Linked DNA regions of Macaca mulatta. The main gene of each other region encodes a partner of the protein of the gene in region 2 in a complex. Links are inferred from orthologs where the notes say so. Each region holds a gene or a part of one and is shown on either strand. Other genes may lie near its edges.

Region 1 (7,696 bases), on a different chromosome or scaffold from region 2:
CCCGTCTCTACTAAAAATACAAAAAATGAGCCGGGCGAGGTGGCAGGCGCCTGTAGTCCCAGCTACTCGGGAGGCTGAGGCAGGAGAATGGCGTGAACCTGGGAGGCGGAGCTTGCAGTGAGCTGAGATCCGGCCACTGCACTCCAGCCTGGGCAACACAGCGAAACCCCGTCTCAAAAAAAAAAAAAAAAAAAAAAAGAAATTAGGTCTTGCTATGTTGCTCAGGCTTGTCTTGAACTCCTAGCCTCAAGCAATCCTCCTGCGACTTCCCAAAGTGCTGGGATTACAGGCGTGAGCTACTGTGCCCAGCCCATATATTCTGAAAAGGATTATATTCATTGATGAAGTCAAGCCAGATGTCCCTGGATGGGAATAGAGGGCATTTTAGGGCAGCAAGAGAATAGAGGTCAGGGTCTATACTTCCTTTCAGTAGCAGAGACATGAGCATTTCTCTGTATCAGGACCCAAAGAAGACTCTGTGATGGGCCGGGGGAAGCTGGTCACCTGGTCTTGGCAAACATTCCACTACCCAGAGGGTTGGATAGAAGCAGCAGGGACAAGGGATCTGAAGATACCATGCCAGTTCAGTAAATGAGCACCTCATCCCTAATCAGTGTGGACAGACAGCTGAAGACAGCAGGGATCTCCTCAGGCTTTGGTGCTAGATAAGACCATAGAATGCCTGTACAACTAATGGAGATGAGGAATCCCCAGTAATAACTGATGTGGATTTCCCACTAGCATGCTAGGATTGGATATCAGAGTCATATTTATATTCATTTAAAGGTGCTTTGAAAATGTGACATTTCTTATATGCTGAAGGGTGTGAACTAAGATCCATATCTGTTTGGTAGGCCTCCTATTCAAACTTACCTTAACAAATCCTTATTTTCTTTTGGAATGTTTTCATGAATATCGTGGGCTATGTTACAACTGTCTTCTTAATGGGATAGGGGTCAAGAACTCAGTTAGTTGGCTAGGTCCTAGATTCCACAGAGGACATGAGGATGAGAGGCCCCAAGCCTGCCCATCTGGTCACCTATCATTCACTAATGCAAAATTTGAATCATTTCAGCCATCTGACGCCAGGGATTTGCCTATTTAAATGAAGTATTCACTAAGATGCAAGGTCTAAGACGTAGTCGTCATTGAATGCACATTTAATGAGCAACTTCTATGTGCTGTGTACCAGTGTTAGAGAAATGTGATAATTAGGTTCAGTAATCAATGGGCTGCATATAATTATCAAACCTCCTTTCTTCTTTACATTGATCCTTTCTCCTGCCACTCCCCCTCTCTGTCTACACCATAACCAAAACAGTCCAGAATTTGGGGAAGAATAATTGACACCTGATGGGTCTAGTCATCACTTGATGGTGTGATGGTCACAATGTAGCCAGCCTACAACCTAGCCTGGTTTCTACTACTCTGACAATATATTGACTAGACACCTAAAAGTATGTTCAATAACTTACTAGCACCTATTGCAAGGGGGATGACAACAGTGGTAGAAAATACTTCATTATTTTAAGTATTTATGTCTCGGGAAAATGAACCTGTTTACTTGCAATTTGCATTTCTTTTCAAAATTAGCTTATGTGCATCTATGGCCTATCTCCCTTGTCTCTTATAACTTGTAAAAAAATCCTTTAAATTTTAAAGATATTAACAATTTGTATTTATGTGTTGTGATTATTCTGTTCTGTGTTGCATGCCTAATAATTCCTCTCATGTTGTTTTATAATAAAGTTATTTAAAGTATTTATGTATGAAAATCTATCCACCTTTTCCTGTAGGTATCCTGTCAATAATATTTAGAAAGGTCATCTGAGCCATGATAAAATATCCTTCATTTTAAACAAACAATCTATGGTTTCACTTATCAAATGTAAATCTTTAATTCATTTGGAATGTACTTTGGAATAAAGTGTAAAGCAAAAGATCTAACATTCCCCTCAAATATTTTGACTATCCCATCCTTTCACTAATTCAAATATTCCCTCTAACATATCTAACAAATTAAACACATATACACAGATACAGATATTTCCATTCTGTTACCCTGATTTGTTTTGGTGTCCAAAATACACTTTTAGGGTACCATTTTATAACAAATTTTTCTATGTGGCAACTTCTCCTTAATTTCCAATCTCAGAATTTTTCCATTTTCATGTTTTAGGTCATTTAAAAATAAACTAGTTTTATTAGCCTTGAATTTCCTTTGTATATCAATTTGGGGAGAAAAATACTTAGAAAACCATACATATAATCTGATCCAAATTTGTTAAAAAAAAAAAAAGTTGTGTGATCTTTATTACAAATATTTATGTATACACATAATTCCAAGAATATATGGTAAAGTATTAACTATTTCAGGTGTGTGCTTGTATCTCCCGTTTGTCCTCCTCCCACTCACCACCCACAACCACCCTCCTCCGGCCCCCTCCCCACCATCTACTTTCCTTCCTGCTCTGTGTCCCCCACACTTACCAACACAGACTATACAAAAGGTCTTCCTTGCCCTCCAGCTTCCAATTTGGCCAAGAGAAATACCTAGCAGATGTTCGGAAGAGCGCGAAGTCAAGCATTTATTCCCTCTCATTTCATTTTCTCTTTCAGGGTTGCTGTGAGCTGACTGCATCCTGAAGATTACAGCTACTGTCAGATGGACCTTTCCACACAGCTGTATACCATTCCAGTAACCCCTCCCTTACCTCCCACTCCCTCTGCTCCTCCCCACTTCCTTTCCTCTCGTCTCCTTTGCAGAGGGGTAGTAACACTGTGTTATGCCCTGAATTGTGCACCCACCCCTCCCCACACCCACCAAATTCATGTTGAAGTCCTAATCCCCAATACCTCAGCATGTGACTGTAGTTGGAAATAGGGTCTTTACAGAGATAGCTAAATTAAATGAGGTCATTGGGGTGGGTCCTAATCCAGTGACTAGTGTCCTTAGAAGAGATTAGGACACAGATACAGAGAAAAAGGCCATGTGATGACAGGGAGGACAGCTGTGTAGAAGCCAAAGAGAGAGGCCTCAAAAAAAATCCTCTGGCAACACCTTGATCTGACTTCCAACATCCAGAACTGTGAGAAAATAAATTTATTGTTTAAGCCACTCAGTCTCTGGTACTTTGTTATGGCAGCCTGAGCCAGCTAATATACACCACAACCCTACCCCTCTGGTGACAACTCAGGGAAAAAATTCTTTAACTCTCGTCAAATCATCCATTTTTGAGTTCCATTTATTTATTGCTTGGATCTTGAATGATCCAGCAGAATTACACAATTCTTATTTGCATTTGTTACTATGTTTTCTAAAATTTCTACAATAACCACAGAATACCAGCCTCAGTAACATGAAAGGCACACTGCAAATTACTTGCTTTGAAATTTAGAAACAAATTTTATTTAAGATCTGAAATACAATTCCTAAAATATCAACTTTTCCAGAAAACCGTGGCTACACAATAATGCATTGCCTCTATCATGTTAGAACGTGCATTAGACTCAAATACAAAAACCATGAAACAAATCACCATCCTTCAACAATTTGAGCAAAGATAGAATGCTTAAGAACAACATAGATGGACTTGCAGAGGATGGGCTGTTTTACTTCAAGCACCATAAAAAAAAAAAAAGAGCACAAATGCATGGGTTTTCAGGTATATACATTAAGTTGAACCTTTGGCACTAGGAATCAGGGCGTTTTGTCACGTAGCATTAACACATATTAGAAAATTGTGTAGTGTCAAAGGGATAGGAACCACCAGCATTCAAGCAATGTTGTCAACTAGGCAATAAAATGTTCTACTGTTTCTTCTTTGTTCTAATTACTGCATACACTGGTAGCAACTTTGAAATGAGAAAAGGAGCTTACACTCCTTTTATTTTCTGTTTAAAACAGAACAGAAAACAAACTGAAACATAAGCCCTGTTATACATTAACGATTTTAAAGAACATCAATTTTACAAGAAAAAGACTAAGAACAAAAAGTGTTTACAGATACAGGACAAAAATGGTGAGCTGTCTGTAGACGCTCACAGGGCTTTGCGGTGGTACTCAGCAGAAGCCACTTTGTAATCACTGGCAGTAAAGAGAGATGCAGAATTCTTTGCCAGATATTTTAGGAAATCATGCAAATAGCCCAACAATAATGCAAGGCTTTTCTCATCAAGGGGCGTATAGGCCAACATTGCTCCAATTCTTACAAATAATCTCAGTAGGTGTGGTGCTCCATAAACCTGAGACATTGGAGCATCAGGGTGAGCCAAGAGGATTTCAGCATACTGGGGCCTCTCAAATTTGTAGAGCAGCTGAGTGCCCAACATCACATTGAAATATTCTTTTATTCCTGCCACAACTTCATTAACTGCATATTCCTTATTATCAACATTTCCCTGCGACTTCTTGCAATTTGCATACTCCTCCAGAATTGCATCTACATTTTTCTTAGCAGGGAGTTGAAACAGCTGCTTCTGCCTGGTAACTAAGTCCCAGTCCTCAACAAGCCATGGTTTTAATTCTTCAGGAATCTTCACTTTAACCTCCATTCTATTCTTAAACGCCTCCTCACTTTCAACAGTGGGGTCTGCCCGGGCCCTTTTCTTCCGAGGGGGCTGAGGTGCTTCGCTGGTACTGCCACCATCTCCGTTTCCAGGAGTCTTCTGTTTGTTCTTTCTGGTCTTCCTCACGGATCCTGAAGGGGGATTCTCTGCAGAGCGACCCCCCCATCTTCCTGGGAGAGCTGGTTCAAGATTTTTCTGCTGTGGACCAGCTGTCTTCTTTCCCGAGGAGGCCCCTCTCATCTTACTTCTCTGCATGTTGCTTCTAGTTGGTTTTTTGAAGTTCTCTTCTTCTGCAGATTGCTGTCCACGAGGTTGAGAACCCTGCTTTCTGGAACTCATTCAACCCTGTTTTTATTCCAACCACTGTAATATATAAAATATTTTACTTGGTTGTTTTCTATGGCAACCTTTATGTTTCATAAAGGCCCATCAGAGCATAACACATTCTAACTCCCTTAAAATCTGGATTTCAAATCCCATTTCAGGACTCTTTATAAGTGATTTTTTTTTTTTACCTCCTTTCCCTCTCTCTGATCCTCACTACCAGCCACTACTCTCATCTCACCCAAATACTCATCACATCTACCCACAAATTACTCTGTTGATGCCACTCACAAGATAGGAAAGCAATTTTAAAGAAAGAAGGAATTAAATGAAAAAGAAACTATAAAAGGCAGTGGAGTTGAAATTTAAGACTTCTGAACAGGAGAAATGACAATATGGAATAGGGAAGGTTATACTTAGTTGACTAAGGGCAAAATGAATAACAGTAAAGGTTCTTGTGTAAGTCCAGAAAGGTCTGAACTAGGATGATGACAGAGGCAAGAGAAACTGAAGAATACAGAAATCATTAAGAATATAGTAAACAAAGGAGGGAGGAATCTGCAATTTCAAACCTGGGTAATTAAAGAATTTAATAAAAGCGCTGAATTTAGGGTTTAGTTTGGAATCAGAAATAAAATGACAGAACATAGGTAATTCATCCATTCATTAATCTATTCAGTTTGTCATTATACATTACTGCATATCTGCTTTGGGACAGGTACTATGGTAGGTGCTAGAGATCCAAATATCTAAAGTGACAATTATAAAACAATAAGGTTAGTATAATGATAGTTATAGGCACAAAATGGCTTGGGAGCAGATACAAGAAATGGTACATGACACCACCGTCAGTGATTGTTGAAGAAGCTAAAAAAAAGATTGGTGAGGGAGGAGTCAGTGATGACTCCCAGGTATGGGTGATTAGGTCATTAGTATTATCACCAAATGATAATACTCCATTTACAGGAGGAGAAAATGGATTGAAGGAAAAGTTGTGTTGGGCCTATTGCGTGTGAGGTGTACAGTTAAACATAAAATTATAAAGCTCAGTTTCGTCCAGCTAACTGGGTACCTCCCCCAACACACACACACACACACACACACACACACACACACACACACACACAAAATTAAAGCTCGGGTGCGAAGTAAAAGCCAGAAATGGAGATCTGAGAGTAAACATCACATAGCTGGTAGTAGACACTACGAGGGCCAATGAAATCAGGGAGAAGAGAGGAAGAACTTCAAGTATGGAATTCTGGAAAACGTAAGGACGAAAGGCATTTAAGGGATGCATAGAGACCACAAATGAAACAAAAATTTTAAGAGTAGCCATAACAGAATTAGAAGAATGTCATTTTGGATGCCAAAGAAGATGAGCGTTCCAAGAAGAAACAGGTATAATCTACAGTGTAAAGTGCAGCAGGGAGTGCTAGTGAGAAAAGGATGCAAAAATAGTCTTCCATTATTCTTACGGTGTGACAGAGGAAACAATTCCTTTGACTTACACAATCTTCCTTCTTTCCCTTCCAAGAACTCCTAGTGATTTCCCAGATGAAATCTTATAGATCTTCTGGGATGGTCTAGAAGGGTGAAGTGGGAGATACAACCTAGAAAGAAAGGCAGGTATCTGCAATGAAGATGAACTTTTGTGAAATCATCTAAGGAAAAGAAAAAAATGAGTAATTTATAAACATGTGGTTTATATGTTTAAACACATATATCAATCATATACTGCAATTGTAAATCGTGGTATGAGAGAAAATACTTGAGTTCTGCTGTCAGACAGACCTTTACTTCAGTTAGGCTCCATCACTGATGAGTTGTGAGACCTCAGGCAAGACATGTAAGCTCTCTTAGCCTCTTTTTCTCATCTGTGGAATGTGGCAAATTACCCATAGCCTTCACAGGCTCCTGTGAGAATTTCATAAAGGTGATGAGGCTGAACAGCTAGCACAGTACCTTGCCAGAGTATTTGTACATGGATACAAAGATGTTCAATGTAGTGGTGTTTGCAGTACTGAAGAACTGGAAAACACCTACCTATTCTTCAATAGGAAAATGATAACATAAATTATGTATGACTACTACAGAAGAACATTCAAATGAATTAAGCAGAGATCCATGTACTGACATGGAAAGATGTTCAATATATATTAGGTAAACAGGCAGATGGCGTAATACTATAGGATCCCAAATGCAATACGATCGTAAAGAGACAGATAAGGCCGGGCGCGGTGGCTCACACCTGTGATCCCAGCACTTTGGGAGGCCGAGGCAAGCAGATCATGAGGTCAGAAGTTTGAGACCAGCCTGGGCAATGTAGTGAAACCCCGTCTCTACTAAAAATACAAAAAACAAAAAAAGTAGCCGGGCATGGTGGCGCACGCCTATAGTCTCAGCTACTTAGGAGACTGAGGCAGGAGAATTGCTTGAACCCGAGAGGCGGAGGTTGCAGCGAGCTGAGATCGCACCACTGCACTCTAGTCTGGGCGACAGAGACTCCATCTCCAAAAAAAGAAAAAAAAGATAGTACAGGTACAGAAATAAACATTAGTGTGAAATAGTTTTTGGGAAGAGTGTGCTCTCATTTGTGTGTGTGTTTTAAACAGATGTCTATAAATGTGCATGGAAATATCTAGACAGATAAATACCAGCCTGTTAAAATCAGGGTAACTTCTGAGAAAGGGATGATGGTAGACCAGCCTTAAACCAGGTTTCTCTAGTAACTACAACTTTCACCTAAAGAAAAAGCCCATCAGCCATTCTGTAGCCGTTAACACTGTGTAGGCAGGCATCAGGG
Region 2 (8,409 bases):
ATAATCTTACTTTTTTTTTTTTTTTTTGAGATGTGGGTCTTGGCCAGGCACGGTGGCTCATGCCTGTAATCCCAGCATTTTGGGTGGCTGAGGTGGGCAGATCACTTGAGGCCAAGAGTTCGAGATCAGCCTGGCCAACATGGTGAAACCCTGGCTCTACTAAAAATACAAAAATTAGCTGGGCATGGTGATGCACACCTGTAGTCCCAGCTACTTGGGAGGCTGAGGCAGGAGAATCACCTGAACCCAGGAGGCATAGGTTGCAGTGAGCTGAGATAGTGCCACTGCACTCCAGCCTGGGCGACAGGGCGAGACACTATCTCAAAAAAAAAAAAAAGGCATGAAGAGGAGTTAAACTATGGTTGAAAACACTGTTAGTATTTAGACAGTCAAGAGGGAAGAAGGAATCATGGGCGATGAAATAGCAGAAACAAAGGCGCAGAAATGGTAATGTGTACAGCATGTTTATGGAATAAAGATTTAGATCTAAGTAAAACTTTTCTCTATCAAGAAACCTTGTTAGCCAACTGTGTTTCGCTCCAGCACTGCCTCCTTCCAACACTGATTGCACTGTAGGACTATATGATTTGAAAAGAAGGTTGCGGCTGGGCGCAGTGGCTCATGCCTGTAATCCCTGCACTTTGGGAGGCCGAGGCGGGTGGATCATGAGGTCAGGAGATCGAGACCATCCTGGCTAACACGGTGAAACCCCATCTCTACTAAAAATAGAAAAAAATAGCCAAGCGTGGTGGCAGATGCCTGTAGTCCCAGCTACTCAGGAGGCTGAGGCAGGAGAATGGCGTGAACCCGGGAGGTGGAGCTTGCAGTGAGCTGATATCGCGCCACTGCACTCCAGCCTGGGCAGCAGAGCGAGACTCCGTCTCAAAAAAAAAAAAAAGAAAAGAAGTTTGCATTCCTGCATTCCATTTATGGAGAAACTTAAATGTCACACTAATAAACACAATTTTAACCTGCAGGCCAATAATTCTCAATCCCCTCCATCTCCTTATTTGTCCGACCATTGATAATCATTGTTTATGTAAACTAAAGTTACTGAGAGAAATATGTGTCATTCCTCAGATGTGTTGGGACAGAAAAACAGCTGAGTACTGCTACTATGGATAACGGAGAGCCACCGAAGATATAGGGGAGGGGTAACAGTATGTACAAGGGGTATTTCAGAGAGCTCTGGAGGCAGTTAGATGGCCTGAGTAGAGAATGTGAAGTACAGCCTAGACCTGAGGTGATACTGTTTAGGGCTAGAATGGCAGCCATATTAGAAAGAAAAGGGAAAAAAGTCAGTTGAGGGAGAGGGAGTCAACTGGGCTGGGTGACACCTCACACATGTGGCTCTCTCTTCAATCAGTGATGCAGACTAAAGGGCTAATCTTGGTACACATGATGCCAAAGCAAGCAAATAACACAGATGGTTGACCCTCCAAACCAGCCAGAGTTCAATTTTGCACTGATGACCATCATTTCCTCCCAATTGATGCCTGTAAAAGACAGCCTGGGAACACATTAATCCCCTCAGCCTTAATCTGGTATTAAGCCATATCACCGGAGGGTAGTAGATCAACCACACATTAGCTTAGTGCCCAATCAAAATACTTGCACTAAATTACTACCATTCCTTTGCCTTTTATTGAGTCATTAATACACATCACTAGATAAGAGAATGTTTGTATATCATCTACGAAAACCGTTACTTTTTATAATATAAGGATATAATGATAAATGCTCCCTAGGATTTAAGACTGAATAAGTTTGTCTCTCTTGAACAACTTGTATGCTTCTTTCTTACTAAAAAAAGAAATACAAGGTTTGGCTACCAGGAAGCTCACAGCTAAATTTAATATCAATTGCTATTACCATTTTAGCAGAGGTTCCTGGTACAATTACTTCTGATCTGTCTCTATTTTTACCGTTTCTACTTTTTGTTTATATTGTAAGCCTCCTTAAATCCTTGTTGGAAGCATGAAGGGTACATATTAAATAACGAGTCGTAAAATGACAGAAATAGGAAAATGGCCTTAGAGGAGGGATGAGAAAGTTCTATTTTAAACTAGTTGGTCAGGGCTGTGTCAGTAATGACTCAGTGATGTGGGGTTTTTTGTTTTTGTTTTTGTTTTTAAACGGAGTCTCACTGTCGCCCAGGCTGGAGTGCAGTGGAGTGATCCACTGAAACCTCCGCCTCCCAGGTTCAAGCTAGTAGCTGGGATTACAGGCGCGTGCCACCACGCCCAGCTAATTTTTTGTATGTTTAGTAGGGACAGGGTTGCACCATGTTGGTCAGGCTGGTCTCGAACTCCTGACCTTGTGATCCACCCGCCTCAGCCTCCCAAAGTGCTGGGATTACAGGCGTGAGCCACCACACTCAGCCCCTAAATCCTGTGGGTTCTATTCCTTAATTTATCTTCAATCTTTCTGTTTCTCTACTGCCATGCCGCCTTCAAGCCATTCTCATTACAGAGTAAGTAATCTTTCTAAAGTACAAATTTTATCGTGGAACTCGGATGACTCTTCTCAGTCCTCTGGATGAACAGCAAAACTCCTTAACATGGCTCACAAGGCCCTAATGATCTGGCCCATGCCTACTCCCTCCAGGCTTATCAATCTTTAGTCTCCTTCATGCTCTGGAGAATGAAAGTAGACTTGCAGGTCCTAGACCAGGATCTCAACGTCTTTACATACTCTCCCCGATCTGCTCTGTGGACTACCTTTCTCCTTCTCCCACTTTTCATCAAGCTAAGGTCTACTTTTCAAACTGTCCTCAGCTTAAACATCATCCCTCCAGGGATGCCTATCCTGATCAACAGCTTTGGTTCAGATGTATTACCTTAACACTCTATCTTATATCTTACACCTTGTTTTAGTCCTTATCACACATTTTGTTTGTTTTTGAGACAGAGTCCTGCTCTGTCGCCCAGGCTGGAGTGCAGTGGTATGATTTCGGCTCACTGCAACCTCCTCCTCCCAGGTTCAAGCGATTCTCTGCCTCAGCCTCCTGAGTAGCTGGGACTATAGGCGCACGCCACCACGCCTGGCTAATTTTTGTATTTTTAGTAGAGACTGGGGTTTTACCATGTTGGCCAGGATGGTCTTGATCTCCTGACCTTGTGATCTACCTGCCTTGGCCTTCCAAAGTGCTGGGATTACATGCGTGAGCCACTGTGCCCTTCCTATCACACAGTATTTTAACTGTTAACCCAACCAGTTACCCCACTGGGGCATGGAGTATGTAAGGACAGAGCACTGTTTTTAATATTCTCGGTTTCCCTAGAGCCCAATACAACCTATCACCGATGGCATGCACTGGGTATTCAACACATTTAAGAAACGGGTAGATTCAACTAAAAAAATTTAGCAAGTGGCAGCCCAGTCCGGACACCTCACACATAATGTTGAACAAAACAGACCATCCCTAACTTTATACAGTTTACAATGCAATAGGAAAACATAAGCAAGTAAGCAAACCGAATCTAATTACAAACTGAAATATGTTCTGTGGGAGAAATAAATGGGGACACTTGTTAGGATAGTCAAGGAAGGATTATCTTCCTGAGAAAACATATACATTGAGACTTGAAAGCTGAAAAAGGAGTGGGCTAATCTCTACCTTTGGAGCAGTTCCTTTCCATGTCTCAGGTGAATAATCCGGCAGTGGGCCAACAAGTATACATCCAGCGACTGACTACTACTATCTGTGTGCCTGACGTATGCTGGAGGTCAGAAGTACAGTGAGAGATGGAACTACGCAAGTATGCGGTAGGTTTCTGCCGTTCTCTGGAGTGCCTCCGCAAAGCTTCTCCGTCTCATGCCCCTTTGACCCCATCCAGAGGTCTCCCTTGTAGGACTCCACACTATCCGTCCCCCCGCCCCGCCCCGCCCCCCGGCTCCGATTCACCGCACCCATCTAGGGTATCAGCTCCCAGAGCTCCGCTCTATTCCCCGCCTTCTTCTTCTTTGTCCGGAGATCCTCCCTCCAGGGCTCCTCTTCGCTTCCTCCCCTCCCTTTTCCCAGGCTCGGATCTTGCCTCTGTGAAACCTCCATAAGTCGTCTGGTAGAACTCATCTTCCTCCTCTGCCTCCAGAAGCCCGGAAAGCCGGTTCCCAGCGGTCTTCCGGGGTGCCCGGCCCCCAGCCAAACTCATACCGCCTAAGGAGACTGCTCCGCCACCTGCAGCCCCTCACCAGCTCGCTTCTGGGAGCTCGACGCTCGACACCGCTACCTGCGGGTGGACACCAGCGGCGGAAGTCGGGCGTTTACAGGCAGAAGTAACAGAGTGTCGAGAGACTCCTACTCCCACCTTCTAAACCCTCTTTACTCTTCAGCCTCTCCTACTCCTGCGCGGAACCTCTAGGCCGCTTGCCCTAGTGCTCAATGAGTCCACTTGGTGGCACGACGACCCGCATAAACCTAAGTCAACACATTTTCTTTTATTTATTTTTGTTTTTAATATATATATATACACACACACACACATATATGTATTTTTTTCGTAGGGTCGCTCTGTCGCCAGACTGGAGTGCAGTGGCACGATCTCGGCTCACTGCAACCTCCCTCTCCCGGGCTGAAGCAATTCTCCCCGAGTAGCTGGGATTACAGGCGCCCGCCACCATGCCCAGCTAATTTTTGTATTTTTAATAGAAACGGCTTTCACCATGTTGGCCAGGCTGGTCTCAAACTCCTAACCTCAGGTGATCCGCGCGCTTCGGCCTCCCAAAGTGCTGGGATTACAGGCGTGAGCCACCGCGCCAGGCTCACATTTTCTTTTAGAAGAGGTCATTCTCCCCGGTCCAGTCCGTTTTCCACACTGCTGCCAGTAGGAAACTTTCAAATTTTCTAAAAACCCAGATTTTGCCAGTCCTCTCCTCAACATTTTTTAATGGCTCCACATCATCTACAAGATAAAGTCCAAAATCCTTGAGAAAGAAAGCATAATATTGTGGTTAAAAACACAGCCATAGACATTTATCCGAAGGAAAGGACATAATTCAACATAAGGAAGCTGATTTAGGAAAAAAAAAAAAAAAAAGGAAATCAGTATTTCCAAGAGACGTCCGCACTCCATATTTATGCACCCCCATATTTAATGCAGCACTGCTTATAGTAACCAAAATAGGAAATCAATCTAGGTGTCCAACAACAGATGAATAAAGGAAATGAGGTGTATATACACAAATGAATACTATTTAGCCATTAAAAGGAACAAAATCCTGTCATTTGCAGCAACATGGACGGAATTGGAGGACACGTTAACTGACTTAAGCCACGAACAGAAATTTAAACACTGCGTGTTCTCACTCATATGTGGACGCTTTAAAAAAATTGATTTCATAGAAATAAAAAATAGAACAGATGATACTGGGGGCTGGGAAGTGCAGGGGGAAGGAAGGGACAGGGAAAGATTTGTTTTTTTTGTTGTTGTTGTTGTTTTTTTGAGACGGAGTCTCGCTCTGTCGCCCAGGCTGGAGTGCAATGGCCGGATCTCAGCTCACTGCAAGCTCCGCCGCCTAGGTTTACGCCGTTCTCCTGCCTCAGCCTCCCGAGTAGCTGGGACTACAGGCGCCCGCCACCTCGCCCCGCTAGTTTTTTGTATTTTTTAGTAGAGACGGGTTTCACCGTGTTAGCCAGGATGGTCTCGATCTTCTGACCTCGTGATCCGCCCCTCTCGGCCTCCCAAAGTGCTGGGATTACAGGCTTGAGCCACCGCGCCCGGCCAGATTTGTTAAAAGACACAAAATTGTGGCTCACACCTGTAATCCCAGCACTTTGGGAAGCCGAGGGTGTGGATCATGAGGTCAGGAGTTCACGACCAGCCTGGCCAAGATGGTGAAACCCCATCTCCACTAAAAATACAAAAATTAGCTGGTCATAGTGGTGGGCACCTGTAATCCCAGCTACTCGGGAGGCTGAGGCAGAGAATTGCTTGATCTCGGGAGTCGGAGGTTGCAGTGAGCCAAGATCGCACGCCATTTGCACTCCAGCCTGGGAAACAGAGGGAGACTCCGTCTCAAAAAAAAAAAAAAAAGACAAAATTGGGCCGGGCACAGTGGCTCACGCCTAGTAATTCCAGCACTTCGGGAGGCTGAGGCAGGCAGATCACGGGGTCAAGAGATTATGACCATCCTGGCCAACATGGTGAAACCCCGTCTCTACTACAAATACAAAAATTAACTGGGTGTGGTGGCACACACCTGCAGTCCCAGCTACTCGGGAAGCTGAGGCAGGAGAATCGCTTGAACCCGGGAGGCAGAGGTTGCAGTGAGCTGAGATCGTGCCACTACGCCCCAGCCTGGCAACAGAGCAAGACGCCATCTGAAAAGAAAAAAAAAAAAAAAGACACAAAATTACCATTTTTTTTTGAGACGGGGTCTCTGTTGCCCAGGCTGGAGTGTAGCAGCAGGATCATGGCTCGCTGGCTCCTTGACCTCCTGGGCTCAAGCTGTCCTCCCACCTTGGCCTCCCAAAGTGAGAGGTTTACAAAGTGAGCTGATTAAAGCCGTGAGCCACCACACCGGCCCCAAATTACATTTGTTTGTTCATTTGTTCATTTGTTTGTTTGAGATAGGATCTCACTCTGTCGCCCAGTCTGGAGTGCAGTGATGCAATCACTGCTCACTGTGGTCTCGACCTCCTGGGTTCAAGCGATCATCCCACCTCAGCCTCCCAGGTAACTGGAACTACAGGCTCACATCACCACACCCGGCTAATTTTTTGTACTTTTTGTGAAGATGAGATTTCTTTATGTTGCCCACAGTGGTCACCTGGACTCAAGTGATCCCCACTCCTCAGCCTGTCAATGTGCTGGAATTACAGGCCTGAGCCACCTCGCTTAGCTCCAAATTACATTTAGACAGGAGGAATAATTTCTAGTGTTCTTGGCCGGGTGCGGTGGCTCATGCCTGTAATCCCAACACTTTGGGAGGCTGAAGTGGGCAGATCACCTGAGATTAGGAGTTTGAGACTAGCCTGGCCAACATGGCAAAACCCCATCTCTACTAAAAATACAAAACTTAGCCAGGCGTGTTGGTGGGTGCCTGTAAGCCCATCTACTCAGGAGGCAAAGGCAGGAGAATCACTTGAACCCCAGAGGCAGAGGTTGCAGTGAGCCAAGATCGCGCCATTGCACTCCAGCCTGGGCAACAAGAGTGAGACTCCATCTCAAAAAAAAAAAAAAAAAAAAAATTCTAGTGTTCCATACCACTGGGGGATGACTATAATTAACAATAATATATAGTGTCAAACAGCTAGAAGAAGGATATTAAATGTTTGTGTTGGAAACAAATAAATGATACATTTGTGAGGCCAGGCACTAGGGCTCACGCCTGTAATCTCAGCACTTTGGGAGGCTAAGGTGGGCAAATTATTCCAGGTGGGTAGTTCAAGACAAGCGTGACTGACATGGTGAAACCTTGTCTCTACTAAAAAGTACAAAAACTGGCCAGGAGTGGTGGCAGGTGCCTGTAGTCCCAGCTACTTCGGAGGCTGAGGCGTAAGAATCGCTTGAAACCAGGAGGTGGAGGTTGTAGTGCGCTGACATTGTGCCACTGCACTCCAGCTTGGACGACAAAGCGAGACACCATCTCAAAATAAATAAATAAATAAATAAATAAATAAATAAATGATACATTTTTTAGATGACAGATATGCTAATTATCCTGATCTGATCACTATATATTTTATGTATTGAAACATCACTATGTACCCCATAAATATGTACAATTATGTGTCAATTAAAAATTAAAATAAAATAAAACAACAACAAAAAGAGAACACAGCTTTAGAGTCAGCCAGACCTGAATTTGAGTGTGAGCTTTAAGGTCTTTTAGCTGTATTACTTTGGACCAGTTGCTTTACTTCTCTGAATCTCAGTTTTCTCATCTGCAAAGTGGGACTGATAACAATACCTATTTTTTAAGGTTGTAGAAGATTAAGAGATATAATTCTTGGCCAGGTGCCGTGGCTCACGCCTATAATCCGAGCACTTTGGGAGGCCGGGGGGATGGATCACAAGGTCAGTAGTTCAAGACCAGCGTGGCCAATATGGTGAAACCCTGTCTCTACTGAAAATATAAAAATTAGCCGGGCGTGGTGGCGGGCGCCTGTTGTCCCAGCTACTCGAGAGGCTGAGGCAGGAGAATCGCTTGAACCCGGGAGACAGAGGTTGCAGTGAGCCAAGATCGTACCCCTGCACTCCAGCCTGGGCGACAGAGCAAGATTCCGTCTCAGAAAAAAAAAAAGACAGAGAGAGATAATTCTTGTAAACTGCTTAGCACAGTGTTTAGTAAGTGCATAGTAAGTTTCAGTATGTGGTAACTACTACATGGCATTCAGTATTCAGATCCTTCATAATTTAGCCTCTCCCTGTCTTTCTAGTCACACCTTCTGCCACATCACTACTC

What was found. Proteins that work in one complex are often made in the same cells at the same time.
Region 1: VPS72 (region 2) and MORF4L2 share a complex: the UniProt entries of both Homo sapiens proteins name them as parts of the nuA4 histone acetyltransferase complex. The link is inferred for Macaca mulatta from reciprocal best matches to the Homo sapiens genes VPS72 and MORF4L2.

Annotation. Positions count from the first base shown.
Region 1 is NC_133426.1:110,305,326-110,313,021, forward strand, and holds the end of MORF4L2 (mortality factor 4-like protein 2), read right to left. Parts: intron 6,555-7,696; exon of another isoform or gene 6,402-6,554; intron 4,933-6,401; 5' UTR 4,909-4,932; coding exon 4,042-4,908; 3' UTR 3,383-4,041; downstream 1-3,382. UniProt on the Homo sapiens protein: Component of the NuA4 histone acetyltransferase complex which is involved in transcriptional activation of select genes principally by acetylation of nucleosomal histone H4 and H2A.
Region 2 is NC_133406.1:115,895,084-115,903,492, reverse strand, and holds the start of VPS72 (vacuolar protein sorting-associated protein 72 homolog), read right to left. Parts: upstream 4,191-8,409; 5' UTR 4,155-4,190; coding exon 4,038-4,154; intron 2,702-4,037; exon of another isoform or gene 2,362-2,701; intron 659-2,361; exon of another isoform or gene 248-658; intron 1-247. UniProt on the Homo sapiens protein: Deposition-and-exchange histone chaperone specific for H2AZ1, specifically chaperones H2AZ1 and deposits it into nucleosomes.